Drosophila melanogaster: one gene and its partners. The protein of the gene in region 3 interacts with the protein of the main gene of each other region in a pairwise test. Each region holds a gene or a part of one and is shown on either strand. Other genes may lie near its edges.

Region 1 (8,424 bases), on a different chromosome or scaffold from region 3:
CTGCTTCCATTTCAAAATCTTTTTGTGATTATTGTTTTTAAAAACCCATGCTCCAAATTACATAAATATAAATTTGTGCCTGGCAAATTTGTGACAACTGAGTCAAAGCAAACGCGACTTTTTATAATATTCTTAACACAGATCTTAGGTACAATAGTAATTTTATTTCTCGATTATATGAAAAGCAAGACATTTTCAGCGACTTAAATTTGAGGGCATATTAATTAATGACTAAGTTTCACCGTAACATAGTTCATGCCAGATTTTGATTGTTTTGCAGACACTTAGTGATTTATATTAAAACCATTCCAGCATTCCGTCCAAGAATTGCAAAACAGCGAACTACACACGCCGAGCATTTGACAGTTCCGGAAAAACGGCGGAAAATCGAAATTCGTAGCATTCGCCAGATGTGTGACATATGGCGGCATAATTTATGCGAAAATTGAACCGGATAGTGAGTGGAAACTTCGCGGTCCGTTGCCGCTGCATTTAAATTCTGACAATTGTTTGCATTGTCCTGGCAGCACGTCTGCGGCATTGTTTAATCCCGATTTTTCGACATCGATGGGGACCATCGACTGCTTGTTAATTGACCCACATTTGTGAGCTGAGTACATAATTAAAAGAAAATAAAGCGCGGGACGGTCCAAATAAACCCGCCGACAGGCGTTCGCACACATAACAATGACAATAATAATAAAAGTGAAGTTTCATAGCGAAATTACACACTCGAACAGAATTAAATAAAGAACTATTACGCAGTGGTGTAAAATAACCTGTTCTTGTTCTGAATAAAAAACAAGCGGGAGTGTTGCGTGGTAAAATATAATGAAATTTAAGTTTTTAAGACCATCTATAAAATATTTTTAAAGTACTATAATTATATGGTAATGCGTAGCAAAGTATTTCCGAAGCTTGTGGACACACCGTGCGCTTTTTACTTACCCAGTGAAATAACAACTAGCGGAAAATAATGCATATTAATAGCGACTTTTTCACATATTACACAACTGCCGACATTTATCAGGCATTAATAATTACGTGTTAATACGTGAAATATGATTAAATTTTTATCAGTTTACATGAATCACTTTCGCACGTTTGCGTGCGAACAAGGACATTTTATTGGCTTCATTTGGCGACGGACCGCAGAGAAACTGACGTTTGCCCAATCGGAATTACAATCGCAATGCCAGTGGTTCTGCGTCATTTGGCATCCTATATCCCTGTCCACAAAGCGAATCCTTTAGCCTGTCCATTTGCCTGCTGTGAGTGGAGGGGCGTAATACACTGCGTATACGTAATGGGGGTGCCCCAGCGTATACGCAATAAAAAGTGGTAAAGCCGAGCGATGGCACAAGGATAACCGCCTGCGCTGGCCATTAAATGCAACAATAAATTCGGCAGTTCAACTCCAGTCAACTTCGTTGGCATGCCCGAAATTTAATTAGTTGGCATTTAACATTAAGCATTTCCACTGGCGCCGCGGCTGTCATTGGGCTTTGTTTTCGTTTTGCTTTTTATGTTATTTTTCAGTTAATTAAACGCACGCCAACATCTCGCCATTCTAAATTGTGCGCAATTAAATTTGGAATTACTTTCAACTGAGTATTCGCGTAGCTCTCGCCAGCGGCGCGGCAATAACTTAACTTGAAATTTTATTGTAAGCCCCTGCCTTGCCAACTGTCACTTTTGATGGGCAGCCATTGGAGCGTAATTAGGCTACTACAACGCTCCTAAAAACCCCTACCCAAATTACCAACCCCTTCTCACTACTTGTGCCAAAAAGCTAACTTTAACTTTTCCAGCTTGGCAAGCCTTTAAGTTCGTACCTAACTTCGTTTGTCTGATGCTCGAAAGTGCACTGTCTGCCGGCTTCATTATGCAAAATGCAATGGTACACAAGCCGATGTGAAGAGGCTGCTTGTCTCCCTTATGAGTTGCACTGTTCAGACTTATCCTGGCCAGAATGGTATTTTTTTGGGCCCTGATGGTGCCCAAGCACTCACACATACACTGCATACACTGATGGCATTTTCATAATCGAGAAAAAAAGGTACCGAAAATGTATGTAATGCCAAATTATTAAGACCCAGAATGAGTAAAAATCTTGGAAAGAAAGAAAATTTCAAACTTCAACCCTATTAACTAACATTTATTACATAGAATTACAAAAATATATTGTATAATTATTCTCAAGGCAGGGCATGCCCACTGCGACTTGGATAAACAATAACAGAGATTCTCTTACACTCGTATATGTTTTTCATATCACCTGCGAAGAAAGCACACACACAGAATCGGTGTGTCATGAGTGAAAAAATAAAGGAGGTGAGCAGTTCGTGTCTGTCTGTGCCAAACGAGGTACGAGTGCAATATTTATATTATTGCAGCTACGGCGCCACATTGCAGCGACATGAAATGTTTGGCGTTGCATAAAAACCAAACTTAATGTGCACTCCCACGGGAATGAGGATGAGTTTATTGCTTTTGCGACTCGAGGTAACGCATTCTGTCCCGTTTGTGTCTTCTATGGGACTGAATGATTGTCACAATGAGTAACACCATGATCACGATCAGGATCACCACGCTGATGGCCGACATGCTCAAACTGACCGATTTGGAGGCCATTGCAAAGCTGCTAAAGAGGAAAATTAGTTCCATGGAATCTCCTAGCTTTGAAAATGAAACGCCGGTTAGGAAGTAGTAGGTAGAAGCGCAGTTAAACAGTATCATAATCAAAATCATGGCCACCAGCTGCAAAAATGGGATATTTAAATGTTCGAAATTAGACTTCACCTCCATTTGGCCGACCACCCACCACCAATCGCATGTGCAGACGGGTCCTGGAATAATTCGAGTGGTATAACCAGGTGCTCATGGCGTAAATCAGGCAAATGTAGGCAGTTCCCACGCAGACCACTTGATGGCCCAGCTGCTCATAACTGACGTGGAGGGGCAGGACGTTCCCAAACACCGACGCGTTCAGCACGGAAATGATCTGCGGAGCAGATGACTGGGGTGAGTCACAAGGTCAGATATTAGATGGCAGTCAGGTGCAACTAACCGCCGTGAGGAATAGCAATAACGATACGATTTCCTTGCGGGAGAGTAACATAATGGACGTAACTGGTAATTTAAAAATACTGCAACAGTTACTGATGTTTAACTCAAGGATTGATAAGTCATTTTCTACTACTCATTTTTAATGTGTATTATTCCAACAGGAATGATGGAGTAATTTTAGGTGCATCCGTTTGGTGAATTGCCAATCCCCTGCTGTTGTAGCTCTGTTCTCACTTCATATCCTTTCGAACAAGGTCGTGTTCCCGTCTTCCTAGATTGCCGGCCTATTTGATGAGCGCAAAATCATCGAGAACAAATTGAAATTTGCACCCATCGTGGAAGCTTATCTGCGCCACGCAGGCACTTGCAATGCCACCCATTCCACACAAATGGGAGCGGCAGGCAGCCGGCGCTAATTCATCAACAGTAAAGGCAATTTAGATACTCATCTACCGGATATCGACAGCCAGGCAGCCGGCAGAAGGCACAAGGCAGCCATGTAAGCAGATACCCTCGTCCTGTTCCGAGGACTCCAACCCATCCATTCCGGCGGCTGAGAGCAGCGCGGAGCGTTCTGCAGACAGGGTTTCATAAAATATTGATGGACGTGAAGTTGGCAGCGCATACTCGCTTCCTGTTCCGTGTCTGTCGCAGCCATAAATAATTTGCTGTAAATGCAATCGTGGGGTTACGTGGGGCATGGCATGGGCTACCCTGTGGTTCGAAGTGGGCGCTTTGGGTGCCAGTGGGTGGTGGGAGGTGGGTGGTCATCCGACGGTGGGGGCAGTGGTACGATGCTAATGGCAAGGCGCACGGTGCGAAAGTGTTTCGTATGAATTATTCGCCGGCAGCCAATTTGGAGTCACGTTTGCCAGCACAATTGAAACTGAACACCAACCATCGAACCACCGGCCATAGTGTCAATCCAGTGCTGGCGATTGCAGATAAGAATAAATAGCTATTTCAAAGGGAATCTCGAGTATATATAAAATGAAGAAAGCTTTGGTTATCTAGCTGAATGCAAGGATCGATTGTCTTATTAAAATTGATCAATAATTGTTAAAGACATAATCAGAATTTTTAGAGCAAATAAAGAAACGTGAGAATATTATAATTATTTTGTTAAAATTCAGTTTTATGGATATGGTAAATGTCTTACAAATATATTTGGCTTCTAATCTCTATACATAATATCCTTGATATTCTTAGCTAATAGCTAAGGAAAGTCTATTTCAACAGCACTGCCTTCCTGTTGTGAACCGCCTGTCGAAATGGTGTAATTTGTTATGTCTGCCACTGTAGCCGACCATGTCTATCTTCGGCCCGGGCTGCTTTTTAATAGCCATTCTCCTGCTGGCCGACTGTTGCTCGGCGGTTGTTGTGCCTTTATCGCCGGACTGCCTCCACTCCACCGTCGCCTACTCCTGCTCCTGCTCCTGAGTTCGTCCTGCGCCGGCAGGGTAATGTGTATTTAATGACGCCATCTCATGTACAATGCCCGTATCCGTTCTGCCATGATCCTGGCCTTGTCGACGGACACCGGTTGTCCTCCAGCGCCTAATGTCCAGTGACCGCAGCCATCTGCAGGATAATGCCCCGGCTCCTGGTCGACGGGTGCCAATAAAGCTGCGCCCGCTGGCAGGCATTTCAATTTCGTGCCTGCCCTGCTTTTTTCAATATTTTTAAACGGCAGCCATAAAACGTGAGCGGTAATGTGCGGACAAGGCTGTTTAATTGTACCCCTGCCCTCAGGGCAATCAGCAACTGTTTGTCTCAGATTACGATGGTAAGTCTCTCGATGTGTTTAAACAATAATTGAATTTAAGTACGTTCTCCAAACAATAGAATAGAAGCCCAGAAGAGCAATTCATATCTTGAAACCAGTGCACTGGCAAACTAGTTTGACATGTATGTTCGCCAAAAATTCTTAAATATTATATACTTAATGAGATACAATAGGGTTTTTGGTAATTTTGGGCAACCAAGACATACAGTATCTTTATAAAATCAAAAGGAAATTATGATAACTAAACTTTTATACACAGCTTCCATATCTAGTGATCTTTATTTTCTAGTCATTATCGCAATCTTATTATTATCACTCCGAATATCATCATATTTTTTTTGTGTACATTACTAATATATATTATCCCTAAATCCGTACAGGGCAACGATGAGTCTAAAGGATCTCAATCTGACCAAGGAGCAAATGATCAAGCTTCAGCAGTTGCTGGCACAGGAAATAGAGGACGAAAGCCAGCAGGAGCGGAATGAGCTATCAAACGATGATTTCATAGCCAATGCACTGGATAAAGTGCAAGTTTATGTGGAGGCTGGTAAGCCAGAGGCTTTTGTCCAGCTCAAAGAACCGCTATTATACAAATTTAAGATTACCTCAAATGGAGTAGCTACTGGATCTTCGGAATCGGATAAGTTTCAACGCGCAGACGCCAAGGAAATTGCTCGCTGGAAATCTGACCATGTAATAAATTTGGATTGCATTTCAGACGAGGACTACGAGCAGTTAAGCCAAATTCAAACCGATGAAAGTACTGGAGAAACCTACATGCTCGTGCCCATTGATATAAACATACTCATTGACGATACCGAAATAACTCCTGATACTTCCACAAAGCGTATCACCGAAAATGACGCCTACAATGCGACGGGAGCGGGACACACCATCTATATGCATCCCGAACAAGAGGGGCATCAGACTGGTTTAGATAGAAATCCTCAAGCTAAACACGCTTGCCCGGCTCCGCCAGAAGAGCAGACCAACTACGACTACCACATGCACACTTTCGAGGTGCCCAAGCTGAGTTTTCCCTTTGAACTCAAGTTTGGTATTGATACTGATCGATTGGTGGGTGGCAATGTGGATAAATCGGCTGAGGACTCGGGAAAATCAGATCACGACGACGATCTGGGGGTAGCTACCGAGCTTCAGGACGTCCTAGAGGATTTAGAGGTATAAAGATCATCTTGCTTTTTAACGCCATCAAGGAAATCATTTAGAACAACAAAATTTGTAACTAGCTTTCCAAGTTAGGTGCCTCTCGTTAACTAAATCTTTGTCTTAAATTATAAATATTTTATGAAATTATGTACAAGCTAAAATAATGCTACAGTATTTACAACTTTTTTTCGTGTAAGCATTCCCATTTCCTAAACGTAAGTAATGTGATTTAATTTAGTAGACCCAATCTAACCGATTCAATAAGCGTTCGAATTGCTGTTGCAGTAATAATAATGCTCTTAAAAGGGGTTGGTAAGTAGCCTACATGTTCAAATGCTTAACTAAATGGCACTTCCTCTCAAACAATTGCACCTAATTGCAGACACTTGACCTAAGCTGCATAACAATGACCGTCCACCCAATTAACCCCCCGATATCGGACTTATATATATATATATACATATCGACCAGCCCGCAATGCAATCTCATCCCCTGTTCAATACAATTTCCATTCAGCTTGCAGCACGGCAAAGAGAATATGATAAGAAGCAATGGAAAATTTGCATAAAGCTTTTAGCCTAACGACGCGACATTTGTTTTTTATGTGATTCATGGACCACCCTCACTTTATGTTCATTTTTTTCCATTTTCATCGCAGAATGCAACAACTACCAACTTCCGCACAATTATTCAGCAATTTTAAGCACAACAATCGGACGGCAGAAGGGGTCGAGCTGGGATCTGGCGGAGATCTGGTTGCATGCCTGATTGCCTGGGGGCCAAAAAGCTAGGTCCTTCGATTCCGACATCGACTTGGTCGCTTAAGCAGATTGAAACAATCTCCGGGCTGGGTAAGAGCTTATAGCCCTCATGGACAAAGGGGGGAGGAGGGTTTTCTTTGGCTTTTAACTTTCGCCGGGACTGCCATTATTATTATTCTCCGGCGTCTGCCTGCAACTGTCAGTTGGGTAATTTATAATGAAGTTTCCTTATTGACAGTGGCAGCTTCCCTTCGAATTCCTGGCTCCCGATTCACGATTCGCACTTCCGCTGCAGCGATTCTCCTGCAGTTGGGCATAAATTATGGATGCCTCTATATAATATATCGCCATAAATTGCTTGTCAAGTCGCGAGTCGACAGGCGAGCTAACTAAGATGCCGATGCCGATGCCGATGCCGGCAAACAAATAACAATCAAAATCACTTTTCGACCCCAAGTCGATTTATTTATATGGGACGAAATCTCGGTACTGAGGCCTTAATCGCTGAGGCCAGCCGCATCATGAGATCGTCAATCGTTTTGATTTATTGCTATTTTATTTGCGCATATCCTTATTTGCCTTGGCCGCAAACTTCGAACCCCAATCAAGGCCGAGACTATTTTATTGTTCGATAGCTTATCAGGCAAAGGCAAACAGACTGAGCGCCTTGGAGGCCGGCAAATATCATAATTTTCGCAGGACACGCTGCCCTGTGTTTGTGTTTGTGCTGGTTTCGTCCTGTCACAATGCCGTGCAAGGCATAAATCTGAATTAAATACCATTTTGAGCTGCTCGCAAGGAGTAGCTGGTCGGAGAAAATGTTTATATTCAGCACATTGTCACTTGTTGTGGCCTCTTTCTTGGACTCAACTCAACTCAACTCTGGGCCAGAAATTCCGCCGGGAATTGCTGCTCAGTGGCCCGGGCAAATAAATATTAATCATTGTGTAATAATTTTCTGCTGTCAGCTAAATTCAAGCAAAGTATTCATAATCCACAAGTAAGAACCGCTTTTGACAAATCGCTTTGCGGGCCACTCGCATAAATATTTATATTTATATTCCATGTAGGCCGGCAGTTAAAATGCTTTTAAAGTTGCCGAAAGTTGGGCGCCAGTTGCTGATTTGATTTTTTCAGCGATGTTTCCATTTGTTTTCTCGCCAACTTTCGGCAACTGTAAATCAGTTTGAGATCCTTTGATGTGTGTTTTGGGCTTGGGTTGCGAGAAACGAGATTGCAATAATCAAAATGTAATAAACAGAGGCTCTCACACATCCGCTTTCAACTGGTCGGGTCAAAACCAAAATGTTCTTTATGCACGGGTCCTTTGTACGTGATTGTGTGAGTGTGAGACCTTCTCATCTTGTCCTTTGTGTGTGTGGCTCTCAGCATTCGATGCACGTAACGCATTGTTTGAATTTCATGGCGACTTTATGAGTTTTGTAATCAGGTTTGTGAGCAAACAGACCCAAAAACACACACGCAGCCTAGCACTCACGTGTTAACCTGCACATAAATATTGTTTCTGGTCGTGGGCTCACCGATTCTCAGATGTGGGCGTGTTGACAAGCCGGCCGAGCAGCCAACCGCCCGTTAATGCTAATGAAACCCAAAGTTTGGGCTCGCCTATTAAGC
Region 2 (8,296 bases), on a different chromosome or scaffold from region 3:
GCAACTGGCAGCAGCAGACGGAAAGTGGAACAAAAATTTCATTTGCTGCGCAACATTTCATTTAATTCATTTCTTGATTATTTTCATTATTGGTCACATTTTACGATTGTTGTTTTGCCTGCAAAAAGGCCCCTCTTTTTGAAAGGACCTCTTGGCATTTGCGGCATGCAGCCAAATTTAATATGCCCTTCGCTCAGTCCTCACTTTATTTTCCCCGACTTCCGCCCGTTGATGTTTTCTTTATGGCGGCATTTTATGTATTTATTTTCGGGGGATTGAAAGGGTTTTGGCCTCGCACGTAACTTCGCCAGATGTCCAATCTTGAGTGCCTAAATTATTTATTAGCCATCTTTTGCGACAGCTTACGACCTTATGAAATATTATATTCTTTGTGCCCAGCCAGCAATAACAAATGAAACATATGGCCCGGCAGGCGGCCAGTTTAGTGGGTCAGCTCATAAATTATTTGCCGGCTTGTGTGACCCACAGGTCAGGCATAAATCCAATCAAATTGACAGCAAGTCAACGCTGACAGGATCTACATACTCATTAGGCACTCTGAAATGCGCCTAGTCAGGGAAAATGTATATTCAATTTGCACAGTTTCGTTAATATACATGTGGGTAAAATAGAGAGAGGAAAATATATTTTGGTTAGCGGGAAATCATTAAAAATGTATACATTAGTTAAAATGAGTTTTTGCTGTTAAAAAACTAATGGAATTGCAGAGAATGGAGCGCAACTCGTTGCCTTTGGAATGACTCAGGGCTATTTGAATGTGCACACTTTCATTTAAATAACCATGAGCTTTTTGACATCAATTCCACCAGCACTTAAATTATTCATTTTCATTATTGTTTGCCATTTGCCCAATTAAATTGGCCACAAGCAGACTTTATGTTTATTCATAATTTATACATTGGATTTCACAATATTAAATGAAAGCCACTTGACTGCGTTGGTCAAAAGTCTAAATTGTATACGGCTGATTGGCTTGAATAGAGCTCAATGATCATTGGTGAAATTTGTCAAAACAATCGCAAAAACACGGTGGGGAATATATAACACAATTATTTTATTATTTTATCCATTTGTTAATCGAAATATATAGGCAGGCTGGTTGGCAGCGCGGGCTTTTGGTCTTGAAAATGCAGTCTGGCGGCAAATTGGTAGTTTATATCGTATGAAATTTATTTGGCCCGTAAAATGCAATCTCAATGCCAGCCGAAGGGAATTTCTGAATTTCTATCCTCCTGTTTGTTTTTTTGGGGGGCAACAAATTTGCCATATCTTAATGGAGAACAAAGACACATAGACCAGCTCACGGCTCTGTGGACTTGACTAAGGGAAGCCGAGCAAATATTTATTTGGACTTTTGTGTCCGCCAGTGGGAGGAATATTACTTATCCTTGCTACCCAGGACCTCCATTTGCACCTGAACACTGGCTGGGCAAATGCAGCTGAGGCTGCAGCACTTAATGTTTATTTTAATTGAATTGTTTCTGGGCGAACTTAGCCATGGCCCAGTGGAGACTAAAAGTTGTAAATTAGCAGCTAATTGTATATGCAAATTAAATTGCACTGCCTCTGCATGTGGCACTTAAATCATAATTTAGGCGTATTTAATATTTATTTGAATTTGCTTCTCCAAAAACATGGTATCTGGGCAACAGAGTGGATTTAATTGTATTCATATAATTTTTATTAAGACTGACTACTAATATTTTCAACTCATTAACCACCAATGTGTAAGCCGTAGCAAATTCTCCTTTCAGCCTTGTGTAAATTTTGGCCAAGTTGATTTGCATGAGTGGAAAGGCCAATTAAACAGACACACTGTTGGGAGAATTAACAAAGCGTCATAAGCTGACCCACACAAGCAAGTTGGCAAACAATGGCAAATGCGCAAACAGAAACATATTGGTCAAGTTGAAGGCTCAACCACGCCCCCATTCCGCCGGGCGACAGTTAATAGATTTATGCAATTGATGTTCCCTGACTGCGATAAACTCAACAAAGTGGCATAAAGCTCGGGTAATTTCCGCCGCCTGATGGACGGAGGACTCGCCGGGCGGAAGGACCTCGAAACGTCCATCAAAAACTGCGACCAGAACTGTACTGATAAGATATGAAAAGCAATTTACGTTAGCTGTCAGCGACAAATGCGCCCTCGTTTCGATTTATTTGCACATTTCATTTAACGACGATTACGTTCATTGACACTTTAAAGCCGTCGCTAATTAATGCGCCTGATTATGTGGTCGAAGAATATGACATATCCATAAATGGGCGAGAAATACGTTTTGCGGCTGACATTTTTCGAGTGCTCGCAATCGCAGGAGGCGTTCACACAGAATATTTTGTGATCGCCAACATGCTTTAGCAGCAGACTGTGGGGCCTCTTGTTCAACACCCGGAAATTGTCGCTGTTGTTGAAGGACACACGATTCTGGTGCCAGTCGAAGTAGCTGAGATGCAGATTCGATGGCCTCAGCTTCGTTCTGCCCTCGAAAATGGCCCGCCAGTCTACGCAGCTTGTAGAGTTCTCGAATCGCGACTCGCGCAGACTCTGCTCCAGGTCCAGAAAGCTGGAGATCTCTAGACCCTTCTTCGAACGCATCACCAGGTAGACGACGGTCTAAAAATTACAAAATGTACACATTTCACTACACATAAATGTAACCTTCTAACCGAAATTTGCTTTTCGAGCAGCTTCTTCTCTCGATTGGCAAACTGTTGGAGCACCTCATCTTTGTTGTTCAAGTAGTCTCCAAAAAGTTGGAGTCCTCGTAGTCCCCTTGGCTTTAGAAGCACCAACTCTTTCTCCTTCCGCTGGTAGAATTGCTCGCGGGTGAGCAGATTACCCAGGCAATTCTTACCGCAGGCATTCTGGATCAGGTTCCTCTGGATCTCTTTGTTGCCCAAATAGCGAGTGTCCTGGATGGTTATGAAGCTGTCTACATAGTCCTGGTAATGATTAAAGTTAATCAGATTCATTCCGCGCGAAACTCAAAAAACTAAAACTGAAAAGCTGCTGAATGGCAAGAAAACTGTGATTTCGTGTAAATCAAAATGTATAATATTTTGAATAAGTTCGAGCAAAATACATTACTGACAACAAACTGCCAACTTTGGCTCAAAAGGCAAAACTTTTGCTGGGCCTGAAGAAGCAGAGTTGTTCTCATATTCAATTTCGAATGAAAGTAGCTGAGCACAAAAAATATTCCTTCTAATTTTCGAAACTCGTGAAAAAGTCTTATCTTAATTGAAATTTGTTTGAGAAACTGATAGCCGGAATGGTTTGTAACAATTTGTAACAGCTTTAATTTCATGTGCGCACAAATAATTAAACATTTCCCACATAGAGTTCCCTTGGCAGAATCCGCTGCGCTGTTCGTGTGGCAAATTTAATAAATGGAAAAAGTTTCACAATGCCCAAGCCCCGACTGTGCCCTTGTCCCTTTTAGCCCAGAACTGTGAGTATTTTCAATTACACTTCCCTATGTGCCACGCCCTCTCCCGCCGCCCATCAGGGGCATTTCGCATATTAAACTAATTACTTCATCAACATTTTAAACTGCCAGCCAGCCAAAGGGAAAATTTGCATTTTCAGCCTGTGCGTATGCAGCGCTCTTTGTCCTTTTCCGCCTGATATCCCGTTGAGCGCACACTGTCGAGGATTAGCAGTCTAACAAGTGACACCTAGTGTTCCGCACATCGCCCTATGAATCCCAAGGACTTTCAGATCAGATCAGATTTACACATAAACGGTAACCAGTTGATGAACTTGCAACGAATAGTTTATAGTCAACTAAAAAATGTACCCAAGTCTATGAAATTGTACAGGATACTGTAACCTGCCTTAAAAATAAATCACTTTCAAAGTTCCTTTCGCCATTTGAGATTAATCACCAGGTAAACCAATTAAAACAATGCCAACAGCCGCTGCTAATCAGCCATAATTTATATATCAAATAGGGTGTGTAAGATGTCCTGCACTTCCTGGCAGATTTCCAGCTCGCTTTTCAATTTCCACACACAATACGCAGCTAGATTTTCCCCTTGCCTGCGTGAAGGTGTGTGTCTGTGTGAATTTACGCTATTTAGACACGCTTTCCCACTGTTTGCAGTTGTTGCTGTCGTCGCTGCAGCAATTAACATGCAGCCGCTGCCGACACTTGGAGCTCAGTGCTCCTCCACGTGCAGATCCCCCTCCATAGTTTTCCTCTGCATTTTCCCAAGCCTTCTCACAATTTCCCTTCCCTCCCCCCTCTCCATCACTTTGGGGCAACAACTGCTGTTCCGTTTTGCATGCTTTGTCACCATCTTGCCGCTTGCCGCCGTCTTGAGCGCGTAAATTGCTACTTCGTGGGCCAATCCTCCTGCTCCCCGCTGAAGTCACGACATACCCACTTCCCGCCAGTCTACTGGCAGGACCTACAGGACCGCCAGGACTGCCAGGACTCGCATTTCGCCCGCTGCGTCTTGGCCGTGGCCATTGTTTGACTTGGTCATTAGTAAATGTACTTTGTCGCAGCATAAAAAGGAGTTAAGTGCGCACTCTAAGGATTTATGTGCATTACCAAAGAATGAGGCGGCAATGCTCAATGCTGCCTCGGGAAAGTCGAGGCTGCTTTTGCCATGTGTTAAGTGCACATTTCTGATGAATGAGTCGGCTGGCTGCAACTGCATTTCAATTGCAGAAAGTGCTGAATGGACTGAGGGCTGGAATTTATAGTTGAGCAGTTGCCGTCATTATCGCACAGGGCATGCCAATCATCCACTTGAGCAGTTGCATAGATTGAAGTTATCAGAGAACTTCTAGATATGTAAATCATATTTTTTCAAGCATTCATACATTTCGAGCATGACAATGGACATGATTGCCGAAAAGCGTAGAAAAGCATACTGCTTGCATGTGCAAGTCAACCAGGAAGGGGTTTTTATAATTCCTATTTTGATTTCATTTTGCAGACCCCTAACTACGAAACTCCCAGATTTTCTGTGTAATCCCATCGCCACTCTGGAGTGCAATTTCCTTATTATAATGACGCTTGGCAGTGGTAGTAGTGCCACATGTCCGGCAAATAAATGGCTTACAGCCACGAGTCCTTTGAACTGTTGGCAAATGCTAACACAAATTATCAAGTTACCATAAATTGCCCTCGCCCGGGCCGTACATCTAGCCAATGAAATCAAAGCCACATAAATTGCGCAAATAATTCTGCCCTCTCTCGGCATTCTCCACTTTTCTCCAGGGAAAATGGAGCCCAACGAAACGCAGCCAAGACAAAGGACGGACCAAAAGAATCATCACTTACAACTGACCACAAAGCTCCACAGCCACATCCATAGCCCGTCCATTCCACATCCACGTCCGCATCCACATCCACATCCCTTGGGAGCGGTGGTCCCGCAATCGATCAAAAGGAATTATGTCTCAACACAATTGTAAATAAATCTTTGCGGCCATGTGGACATCATGTGCATGCCGAGGTCCTGGCCGAAGGATTTGCCCAAGCGGGCAAAAGGGAACTGGGCAAGATGGGACAGCCTCAAATCCTGCATATCATAGACACTGGGTATATGAAGATTGAGTGGTAATGTGTGCAAATCTAAAGCTTTCCTCCCCAGTATGCCCCGATTTTGCCTAATGCGGCTGCTTCGATTGCTGTCCATCCGTTGACATGTTGGTAAATTGCTCCTTAGCTGATTGCATCGATTTTGGGGACTGGGTCTTAGACAGAAACTGGGGAATTAAGTGTAAATGCCGGAAATTAATCTGCTCAAAGGGAGACAAAAGCAGCAATGGGCCCGAGCCCAAATGCAATATTATTCAAAGTGATTTTACAAGTGCCGTTGGCGGCAGTAGGAAATCGCCCCGTTGTCCGGTTCCTTTTCAGAGGCCGAATACTTATAATGCGCATCGATAATGATTTGTAATTTAAAGCTCAAACAAATTTCCGGCAATTTTTGCGGCAGACACGCGCCAAGCATTTTCAACCTCCTTCCACACCGCCAGCGTCATCTTGTTTACTTTTCATCTGCCGGGAAAAACAACTTGAAGGCTGTGTAAAAAACCGAACTTATCGGCGTAATCATTGGGCCAAGGAAAAGAACATTAATTTGTTTTCTTGTAAACTGCCGTGCCGAGGGCTTTGTGTAATCAACACGAACGTGAGCATCTTCAATGGCTCGCATTCGGTTTGTTTGGCTTGGTTTGTTTGGGAAACTTCCCAACCGGAAATTCGATAGCAGGAAATGTGAAATGGCCGTTAATGGCGTACACAGTGCGTATGCGTAATGGTTCGGGTATCAGACAGGAATAACTAGCCGCTTTGCGGAGAGTCCTTTAAAGAGTCGTATTAAATCTCATTAACGTGAAAATTAATCAGCTCTCACTACAAATTAATATTCTTGTTTTAGTTTATTAATTCATTATTTACTCGATTTACATTTTTTTATCATTCATTGTGACCATAAAAACGATATGAATATCGTTTCGAATATTTGTCAAAGACTACTTTATTGCTTCCCCATTGATGATTTAAAGTGCCTGTTGATTTATATGGTTAAATAAATAGCGATGTATCATCTTTCCCATTAAACAAAAGTTTATGCAATTAAATGTAATTGTTATTAACCATGCTGCGTAATATTTACATATTTTAAGAACTTTGAAATTGTTTCCCTTTCTTTAAGGTAAGCAACCATTATGAGGCATTATCCAGCTTTCCGGTAAACAGGCCTGTTGGCGATTACCAGTAATAGCAGCACATGTTGATGGAACATTAGAGCACATAACTTGGGGCGGCTGGAGGAAGTGGGAGTGGCACTTCATCCAACATCTGCTGCCGCTTCCTCAGTCGCTTGTCATGTCTATTGTTAGTCGCCCGATGTTGCCTGTTTCTCGTCATGTCGCCCATTAAAATCGTGTACACCATATGCCAGCCATATTAATTTTTTGCCACCCGGAAGTCGGAAGTGTAGGAGCCACGCCCATCGCCCATCGCCCAACGCCCAATGCCCCCCGCCCCAATTGATAGGCAGTTTGCTGGCGATTACGTGGCGCTGTTGCCGGCGACACATGAGACGTGGATGCGCTTACGTGGTTATGGTTATCGTGCTTACGTAATTTCCTTTCATAATGGACATTGTTGTCGTACAGCCAATTAAATCGAATTGCTTGCTGCCCAAAAAGGATTATGGCCAATTGAGTCTCCAGCAATCTGCTTAAAATGTATTCACTTTGTATTGGTATGCAGACATTAATAGGTATTTGTAGAGCGGATTAAACGTAAGAGTGTTTCACATGAAACGATCAGAGATCATCTGTGAATTTCATTAAAACGAATCACGTCGCTTCATTTTTACGGCTTTCCCTTGGGCAGCTTAAAGACTTGCTCCAACTCAAATGAATCATCTTTACTGCATGAGCGGAGAGCTTTCGTTGTAAGATGTTTTATTTTTGGAAAAATAATTTACAAGTTCTTTACAAACATAACCCAGCCACATCATTAAAATCTGCTCTGGCACCAAGAAAAGTTATCTGCCCGCAAGTTTGCTGCTCCCTAACGCTTTCGTAATGACTGACCAACATCACAGTCGTCGGTCGGACGAGCTGGAAAATCCTTGCAGTTAACCGCACACAATTTTGTTATTTTTGCGGCGGACGAGCGATGTATCCAACTTGACGGGGGAAACCCACAGCAGCGAGGGGCATTTTTCCGTTTGCTGTCAGTGGCTCATTTGGCTGCTGAAAAGGCCAGAAGTCTGGACGAACTGGGACGAACTGGCAGTAGGGGATGCAGACTGGCCGGGACGAGGGAGCGGATCATCCGCATCCTTTGGCCGCAGTTTATTTTTCGGGGGGAAAACAAAAAGTGAATAAGTTGCTGGCAGTGTTTGCTTGAGACTGCAAAAATGGCCTGCAACTATCCCCGGAGAAGTGTTGTTATCAAAGCCATGTGGCACGGATGGGGGGTGGTATCCTTCTAATCCCAGTTTACAAGCTTATTTCCATACATGTATGAATTTCTCCGAGGCATAACTCAATTTGAGTCCGCTCACAGCAAGGATAATCATGTGAGTCACGATCTCTGGAGAATTTCCCCCGTCTCGCAGGGCCTGTGGAAAATACGATTTTAATCATATTCCCAGACAAGAAGAGATTGCTGCCTCTGCACTGGGTCTTAATAATGGCCAAAAGCGTTTTAACAAAATTGAAAACTCGTGCAAATAATTTGCATAATATGCGAGATACACTCTGCTCCCAAATATAAAGGAAGCTCGAATA
Region 3 (8,309 bases):
AACACACTGGCACGCAGAAAAAACAAACAAAAACAGTCGATGAGCGAAAACTGCGCGCTCTCTGATGCTGAGAGAAAGAGCGAGAAAGATAGTGAACAGGCCGGAAGGGGCGGTTGTGGGAGTGGGTTGGCGAGAGCTTTTCAAAACAAAAACATTGCGCACGGTGTTGCCAGGTGCGAAACTTTTTCCCAAAACAAGCAACCACCTGTGCTGCAATTTTTAATAATATTATTATTATTATTATATTATAATATTGCCTATATAATTGTTATTTTAACTTTTAGTCAAACATAAATAAATGTGTAATATCATACATTAGTTATATTTTAATGTGTATTTTGTCTAAATAGAGCACCATGTATTCTTTAGTTCCCCTCGTAAACATTAAACATTTGTTACCGCCACGACGGTTTAATTTGGGATTAATTTTAATCTAGCATAACTTAAATGCTTTTGGAGCATACTTCCAATAAGAGCCCCAGAAGATACTAAGCATCGCTTTGCTTATATGTGTGTACAATATACAAAAGTCTCATAATTTTTAGAAATGAAACGTGTGTAAATGCTTTTTTTAATCTATTATAATATCTTACGAGCAATTCAGATGATAGGAATACCTTTTTGAATTGAATTTCAGAATATCACGATTAAATTTCTTTTGATTGCGGCTTTATATTCACCATATTGGCGAGCAGATCGCTTATTGCAAATTCTAATGAATTATATTATTAAAAACTCCAAACTGCATTCGCTGATTAAGTATTTCGTTGGTCATGAACGGCGGTCACACTGTCCGAAATTTAAATTTTAAACTTGACCCCACTATACATTTGTACATGGGCTAATGGAAAAAATTAAAAGAATATTTAAATCTGTGTTGAAATATGCTTTTGGTAGCTGACAACGTATTGAGCCGCATCCTTAAAAATTAGCAGTCCTGATAATAGAATCAGCGATAAGTTTGTGAGATGGTCTAAGCTTAAAACTTATTTTATCCTTAATCATTAAATAACGACTGAGAGTAATATTCAACAAAACACTTCCGATTTTTCAATGTTGCATACCACAATTATCAACATCTAATTTTTTCTTATTGCATTTGATTTTTAGAGGCCTCGAAACGGAAATGGAAAAATCTAAGGGACAGTTATACAAAGTATCTTCGCTCGTTTCGCGTAGGCACAAAGACATCCAAGAAGTACCAGTACTGGGCCCATGCAGATCACATGGATTTCCTAAAGCCCTTCCAGGGACCGGGCAGGTGAGTACTCCACATTGCAGCTCATTTGTACAATCGCCGAACTGATCATCTGTTTTAGGAACTCCGCGAATGGCAATGGAAAATCCAACGACGAGGACGACACAGAGTGTGATTTTGGCTACCAAGTTTTGGCCAAGGCGGCCAGCAATGGAGGCGAGGATGAGCTGAAGATAACCATTGCCACTGCATCGGCTGGTTGCTCATCCATGGGGACGCACACGGTTAATACCTATACTACCGCTTTAAGCAGTACTTCGGCGTCCGGCATAACATCAAGTTTGGGCGCGACCACGCCCCCGAATATGATCTCTCCAGGCAGCAATTTGGGCGGAACAGGAGGAGGTTCTGGGTCCGTGGGACCGCAAATCCACAACAGCAATAGCAACGGCAGTGCAACCGGAAGTCTAAACTGTGCTGCAGTGGCACCGCTCAGTTCGATGACTCCACCTGCCACCAGTGGCAGTAATTCCGCCGTAGTCTTGCCCCTGCCCATCTCACCCGCATCCTCAGTCGCTGCCGCAGCTGCTGCTGTCAGCAAGGCCAATGCAAATGCCCTGGCCTCTCTGGCTAACCATCTGCCCATGGGCTTGGGCGTGAGCGGACTGGCCCAGCAGATGTTCCCGCTAGCCACGCTCAAGGCGGCGGCAGTGGCTGCTGGTCTTCCCCTGCCACCTACGATCACGCCGCCTGGTTGCAGCACCGGCAGCGCAACCAACAGCAATGTCGGTTGTCTGATCATCGAGCCGCATCTCTTTGCGGCGGCGGACAACTTCAAGAAGGAACTGACAGCGGCTGCGGCAGCTGGAGCACCTTTGGGATTGTTCCAGAACCTGGCCAACCAAGTGCAGAACGCCAATCGTTTGAACGGCAGCTGCCCGAGCTTACCCATGGGTAATCCCACTCCTCCGCCGCCGCCGCCAGCGCCACCAGCCTCCAAGGTGCGAAGGGTACAACCTTCGCCGCAAACCACGGCCATCAACCTAAGTTGCTCCGGAGGGAATTCCGTACAAACGCAGCAGCAGCAGTCAATGCAAATGCCACAAATTCAACAGCAACAACAGCCGTCGCCCGCCAAAACGCGTAAGATTTGCGATCCGCGTTTTCCGAGCGATTGGGACGTCTCTGCCGTGCTACAGGCCAACAGAGAACTTGACGCAAACACTCTTTTCTTCTTGAGTCTGGCGCGGCAGGTGCGAGCTATGCCCATGAAATTCCAGTCGCTCGCCAAGATGCGTTGCATGCGAATCGTCAGTGATTTGGAGCTAGAGCTGGAGAACTTTGATTGCAACGGTGGAGCGCCACCGCCGGATGATTCAGGCGGAGGAGGAGCTGGGAATCTCAAGTACTGCAGCATAGATACTCCGCCACCGCCGCCGCAGGACGGCTCCGTGGTCATACCCCCGCCGCCAGTCGGCCCCGAGGGCTCCACGGAGCACTTTGTGTATGTGATGTCGCCGTCGCGTGTGGAGAGCATGATAGACATCTCCTCCGACGAGGAGGCGACCATGAATGGAGCGCCCTCCACGGGCCAGGTTTAAGCGTATTCGTACAAGTTATCTCTAAATTAAAATTAAATTAATCTCAACTAGGTTCCTTCGGTTGGTCTTTCAATCAGTTTATTTTGGAGCGGCGGGTGATCCGATGCTTAGGTGTACAAAATGTGGAAAAATCTCCGGGACCCGGCAATTTGATGGTACATGACTTTAGTGCGAATGAATTTCATTCAAAATCTCGATGACGAAGGCATCCTCTACTTAGGACTGCACCTTGCCCTTGGTGGTGAAGGCGAAGTATGCGAATCCGCCGACCAAGAAGGCGGCCAAAAGCTCAGCCTTGATCCAGGGACCCTTGTAGGCACCCTTGGTGGGCACGGAAATGTCGAGCAGCGACTTCACCGATGAAACCTTGTCGCCATCCCGCTGGGCCTTGCGCACATTGGCATAGCCATCCTCGTCGAAGAGACGCACCTGAACATTGCCGCTGCTGCCCTGCTTGATATCCTCCACCCAGCTCACCTAGTGCAGAACAGAGATTAGCCTTTGCACAAAACTTGACGGGGCTACTACTGGCTCACCTGGTACTTGTTGTCGCCCACCTTGGCCACCGGCACCACCTTGCCGCAGGGGAACTCGGCGAACAGGCTGGCGGGAGCGGCTCCGCTGCACTGCAGCGTGAACTCGCCCACATGGGCCAGCTGGGTCAGAATCGTGGCATCCTGGGTGCTGAAAGAGCTCACGGTGGCCTTGCAGCTACCGTAGACGCCGGACGCACAAACGGCGGCAATCAGGCAAATGGCGAACAGTTGACGGGACATCTTGATCAAGTTATGAGGTGGTTTTTATTTAGTAATCAATGGAATAGGCGGAACTCTACGGCTATCCAACTCGGCGACCTGCGACTTTCTTTCTCTCTGGAAGCGAACGCCACGACAGCACCATACATACGTCACGTCACTTGACAGCTACGAAAATTGCCGAAGTCGTACCAGTTCGATGGTCACACTGGTCGTGACCAGGGATGGCAACGCTCAGTCGAGAATAGCTACAAAATAGCTAGTAGCCCGTGGTAAATTTTTCCGATTTTTTACTTGTTATATCTAAAAATACAGTTTTAGAAAGCGGTTTTTTGTAGTTTCCTAATGACATCTATATGTTAAGATTTCTCCGGGAATGTTTGTCGTTCGAATATGATAGCAATTAGTACGTATACGTAAATGTTATAAAATTCATATAAAATTTGTATATACAAGTATTAAAAATAAGTGCGTATACATAAAAAATATAAAAATATGGGATTCATTTTATTTGGAATAAAGTTATTACTAATGATGTCAGTCCTGTCAAAATAAATCTTTCCTAATTATAGGGGCATTGAGATATGTAGACTTAATTTCCTCCCATATCAATTCAATTTCTAGCGATTTCAATTTCAAATATATAATTTGAAAATATCGAATTTTAAATAAAAAACAATTATATTAAAGTTAAATATTAATAAATTAAATTAAATTTATAAATAAAAATATAATGACAAATAGAATTCTTCACCAACAGGTTAAATTTTTGTAGTCTTACTTTGATTAAAAGACTAAAATTCTTATTAAATTATATTTATACAAAATTGTAATGTTTTAAGGAAAAATTGCTCAGCTATGATCGAGTACCGAATGCAATCCATCACTTTGGAGGATTCTGCTTTAGATCGCTATTGCGCTGATATTAAAAACATCAAAGTGAACTTTGATCAAATTGGTGGCTTAATTTGTACTTAGGCAAATACCCAAAGTTCCTTGTCTAAAACGTCTTTGAGGGGATTCCTTTTGCAATACATTTACGTTGGGCTGACTTCATTTAAAATATGTATGTAAGTATCTATTTAATTTAAAGTCAATAGATAAAGTCCAGGCCGTTCCAGTCACAGTAATTTCGTACCGACTGCATTTCTAATTAAAATAAGTTTTCGTCTGACAGTTTTGCTATGGTACCGTTCTGTGATCGGTTACGACTAAGTCCAATATTTATGGCACTTCGATTGCAATTGATTTCGAATTGCAGCAGTGTCAGAGGAAACGGGAGTCCTGTCCAATCGTTGGGGGAGTCTTCAAAGTCGGGCCATAAGCACCGAGTATTGACTGGTGGCAGTGATTAATGCCCATCCAACTGGAATGGGGCTTTCAGCTTTGTTTTAAGTACATTTTATTGGCAATCGGAAAATCGGATACTATCGTATAAATACTTTGGCTAACAGGCATACGAATGTATGCGGATGTGACCTTGAAGTGGGCCTGATTTGGTTTTGCTTTTTTTGTTTACGGTTTTATGCCATTTTGTGTTTGTGTTTGCCGCCACCGTTCGAATCGGCTCCATTTTGCTATGTTCGTTACTTTCCTTTGATTGCCACCGCGCACGGAACTTTTCCACCGAACTTTGCATGTCTTTGATGAATTTGAAATTGTCACAAATGTGAAAGTTTTTCACTTGCCATCCCATCCGGTTGCCCATCCGCAGATACAGATACTCATACTCATACTAATACCGGCAACAACTGAATTTGCATCTAACATTTTGCTGACATTGAGCGACTTGTACGCATTTCTCCTTCCTCCTCCTCCCCTCTTCTCACCACTCTGCCAGCCTTTTTCCTGCTTCTTTTTTTTGGCTACTATTCATTCATTCATGGCCGGATTTGCATATTTGCCAAAAATGCCGTAATCCTTTCGATTAAGAGGCGTTCGGTGGGTGATTCGCAAATGAAAACAAAAGTTCGTGCGGGTTCATTGAGTCGCAGTCGAAAACTTGCCAGACCCACCGGAATTGCACGTGTCTTTGGGGGAGGAGTGGGTTGATCCGGGGTTGGCAGGTGGATCGACGGATGCATTGGGCAAAATAAAGTGCACTCTGACCGGAAACGAAATTGGTACTTAGATTGCAAACATAGAAGCAGGCGCGATTGTGTATAAGCCAAATTTTGGCGTTCTATATTCTACAATATTTTAATTTTGGGAGTTTTTCAACAACTCGCAAAAATAAATATTACAATAAACCTAAGTTTTTAAAAGTTTTTCATATAAAAAACGAACCAATTATTAACAGGATACATTTACTAATCGAGTATAATAGCTCATTTGTAAGGGACATTACCTTTTTTAATTTTTCCTAGATCACTCCAATTTCTTTCAGTGTGCTTCGGTGGATGGTTGTCTGACGTGTGGGTGTGAGCAGGAAATGGAACAAAGAACCGAACTGTAAGGAGAGCCTGAGCCAGCATAACAGGCGACTCCTTGCCAACGTTGCGATTTTGTTGATTGTTTGTTGGCAACATAAACGAACCTCCCCCCCCCACCCAAAAAAAAACCGATTCCGATTCCGATTCCGGTTCGGAGTCCGAAATTCTTCATTCACAAAACGCAGTCGGTGCAGGGCATTCGAGCCAAGTGGACGTGGAAGCCACCTCGATCTCGGCCAGACGGGGATCGCATTTGCAAAGTGGCTTTCGCTTTCGTGACGGATCACGGTTCACGGTTGGCGGCTCGTTGGTGCCTCGCTTGTGGGTTTCCATTTCAGACCGTCAGCTTTGTTGACAAAGTTATTGCCTCCGGCTTAATGACTTCGTAATTGATTTGCATTCGATGTGCCACATTGATTGGCAATTGAAACGTAAGGCACCCTTCTTGCAACTCCGGCCCAAAAGCTCTTCACCATCGAGGGCTCACTCCATTTCGGTAACCGCTCATTGTCACCGTTGCTAATCAAGGTTATCAAGGATAAACTGGCTGTCACTATGTCGCTGTCTGTGGCCAGCCGTCGTCGCCTCCAGACGACAAACGCATCATCGTCCGTGGTGAACCCATCCTCATCCACTTCCGGCGGGCGCTATCACCTGCCGCTGTCCGTGCGGAAGCAGCACTCCTTCATCGAGCCCACGTCCAGATTTTCGACCCAGCAGAGAGGCTACCTCTCCAGAGGTCTCTCCGTGGGCCGATCCATCGAGAACATCCGCCAGAAGCTCTATCCCGTGGGCAGGCAGGCATCTCTGGCCGTCGAGGAGACCGCGCCGCGTACTGCACCCCGCATCACGGCGTCACAGGTGCAGGGCTTACGGCTGAGGGACAGAAGTCTGGTGGCCTGGTCTTCAACTTCGTCTTTGCTAAAGGATCAGGAGTCGGAAAGGGCTGCACAGGTGGAACAGCCCGAGGCGAAAATGTGAGTACTGCAACTGGATGATATGCTCAATATCACATCAGTTATATCACATCAGTTATTTTCTAATAGATGATTTCTAAAGGCAAGGGTTTAAGTAAGGGTTTGCCTATTGCTTTCCTGAAGTGTCGAAAGGTATTGTCGCACCTATGGAAACCCATCGGGTATTCTATTGTTTGACCTTGCTGCGTATTGGGTACCACTCACTGCATGCGTATACGTAATAAGCCCTATGAATCCAGCCGTAAATGCTGTCCTGATATCATCTATATAAATATGCCGAAAGTGACACTTTCGATATGGGCGTCGCGTCAAGTTGTATGTGCAATTTGCATGCTTCACGCCCAAATCAAACGTCAAAGTTTTATGTTCCAGTGCATAACACACGCTAGACATGCTCGAAGTAGGGAGCCAATGGAAGGAGCCGGCAACTCCCACGCAAAACATCGCCCACCGCCCATCGGCGGCACACTTAAGTCGATCATTGGCTCGAAACGCTGACAAGATAGCTGGCTGAAAAGCGGAAAACTTGCCTGATAGCAGCAGAGGCGGCGGGTTCAACGGCCGCCAGATTCGTCGACTCACTTTCATCGGTCGGCATTTCGGGCGCCAATTGGCAACGTAATTGACATGGTTTCCTTTCACCCGAGCGCGGTGGGTGTGGCGGAACCCAACACCCAAGTTAATTTCTATTTCTGTGCCTTGCATGATTCGGAATCGAGAACAGCATAAATTGCCCCGCAACTAATGCCAAATAATTTGATTTAAATTTAGCCGGGTGGCGGGAGTAGGTCACTCGAAACTTTCCATTTTCATTTCCCACTTTCCTCATGCATTTCCATTTCCATTTCGATTTCGATATCCTCAAACGTTACATTCTGTAGCTACAATATTCATTATACGTTTGCAGCAGCGCCAAGGCGGACAAGAATCGCATTAATCTGAATATAGTGCTGTCGCAGACCATAAGGGCCACCAACGAGAGAGAGCAGGAACCGGAAGTGGACGCGGACGCGGACCTGGAAGCGGAGCGAGCCAGCGATATCGAGGGCAGCCATCCGGTTGAGAACCCGGACATCCAATTGAGCATCTCGCCGGCGCTGACCGTCCAGCGGCGTCCGCCTTTGGTGCGTGCTATGTCCGCTCCGGTCCGCGGACTGGACGAGAGCAGCAAGGGCGTCATAGCCGCCAGCAAGCGCAGCCAGCAGAAATTGCGTCGACGCAAGATCTTCACGAGAACGCCCTCGTCCTCCGTACCGCTCGATGTCATCGGGGACAACTCTACGTCCTCGTCCTCCGTCGCCGGAAACGCATCCAAGAAGGCTTTGAATCGGGCACGCAGCGTCGTT

The links. Proteins that work in one complex are often made in the same cells at the same time.
Region 1: the proteins of Tapdelta (region 3) and CG14380 interact in a two-hybrid assay, tested with the Drosophila melanogaster proteins (one large-scale study listed by BioGRID).
Region 2: the proteins of Tapdelta (region 3) and CG3528 interact in a two-hybrid assay, tested with the Drosophila melanogaster proteins (one large-scale study listed by BioGRID).

Annotation. Positions count from the first base shown.
Region 1 is NT_033777.3:13,183,287-13,191,710, reverse strand, and holds CG14380 (uncharacterized protein), read right to left. Parts: upstream 3,193-8,424; 5' UTR 3,122-3,192; coding exon 3,071-3,121; intron 3,005-3,070; coding exon 2,825-3,004; intron 2,761-2,824; coding exon 2,485-2,760; 3' UTR 2,143-2,484; downstream 1-2,142. Other genes in the region: CG8141 (uncharacterized protein), read right to left, coding at 1-10; CG8508 (uncharacterized protein), read left to right, coding at 5,243-6,046.
Region 2 is NT_033779.5:2,514,960-2,523,255, forward strand, and holds CG3528 (uncharacterized protein), read right to left. Parts: upstream 3,079-8,296; 5' UTR 2,998-3,078; coding exon 2,692-2,997; intron 2,639-2,691; coding exon 2,237-2,638; 3' UTR 2,143-2,236; downstream 1-2,142.
Region 3 is NT_033778.4:11,367,438-11,375,746, forward strand, and holds Tapdelta (Translocon-associated protein delta), read right to left. Parts: upstream 3,899-8,309; 5' UTR 3,576-3,898; coding exon 3,336-3,575; intron 3,277-3,335; coding exon 3,016-3,276; 3' UTR 2,863-3,015; downstream 1-2,862. Other genes in the region: CG13204 (uncharacterized protein), read left to right, coding at 1,111-1,261, 1,320-2,799; CG13203 (uncharacterized protein), read left to right, coding at 6,542-6,963, 7,871-8,309.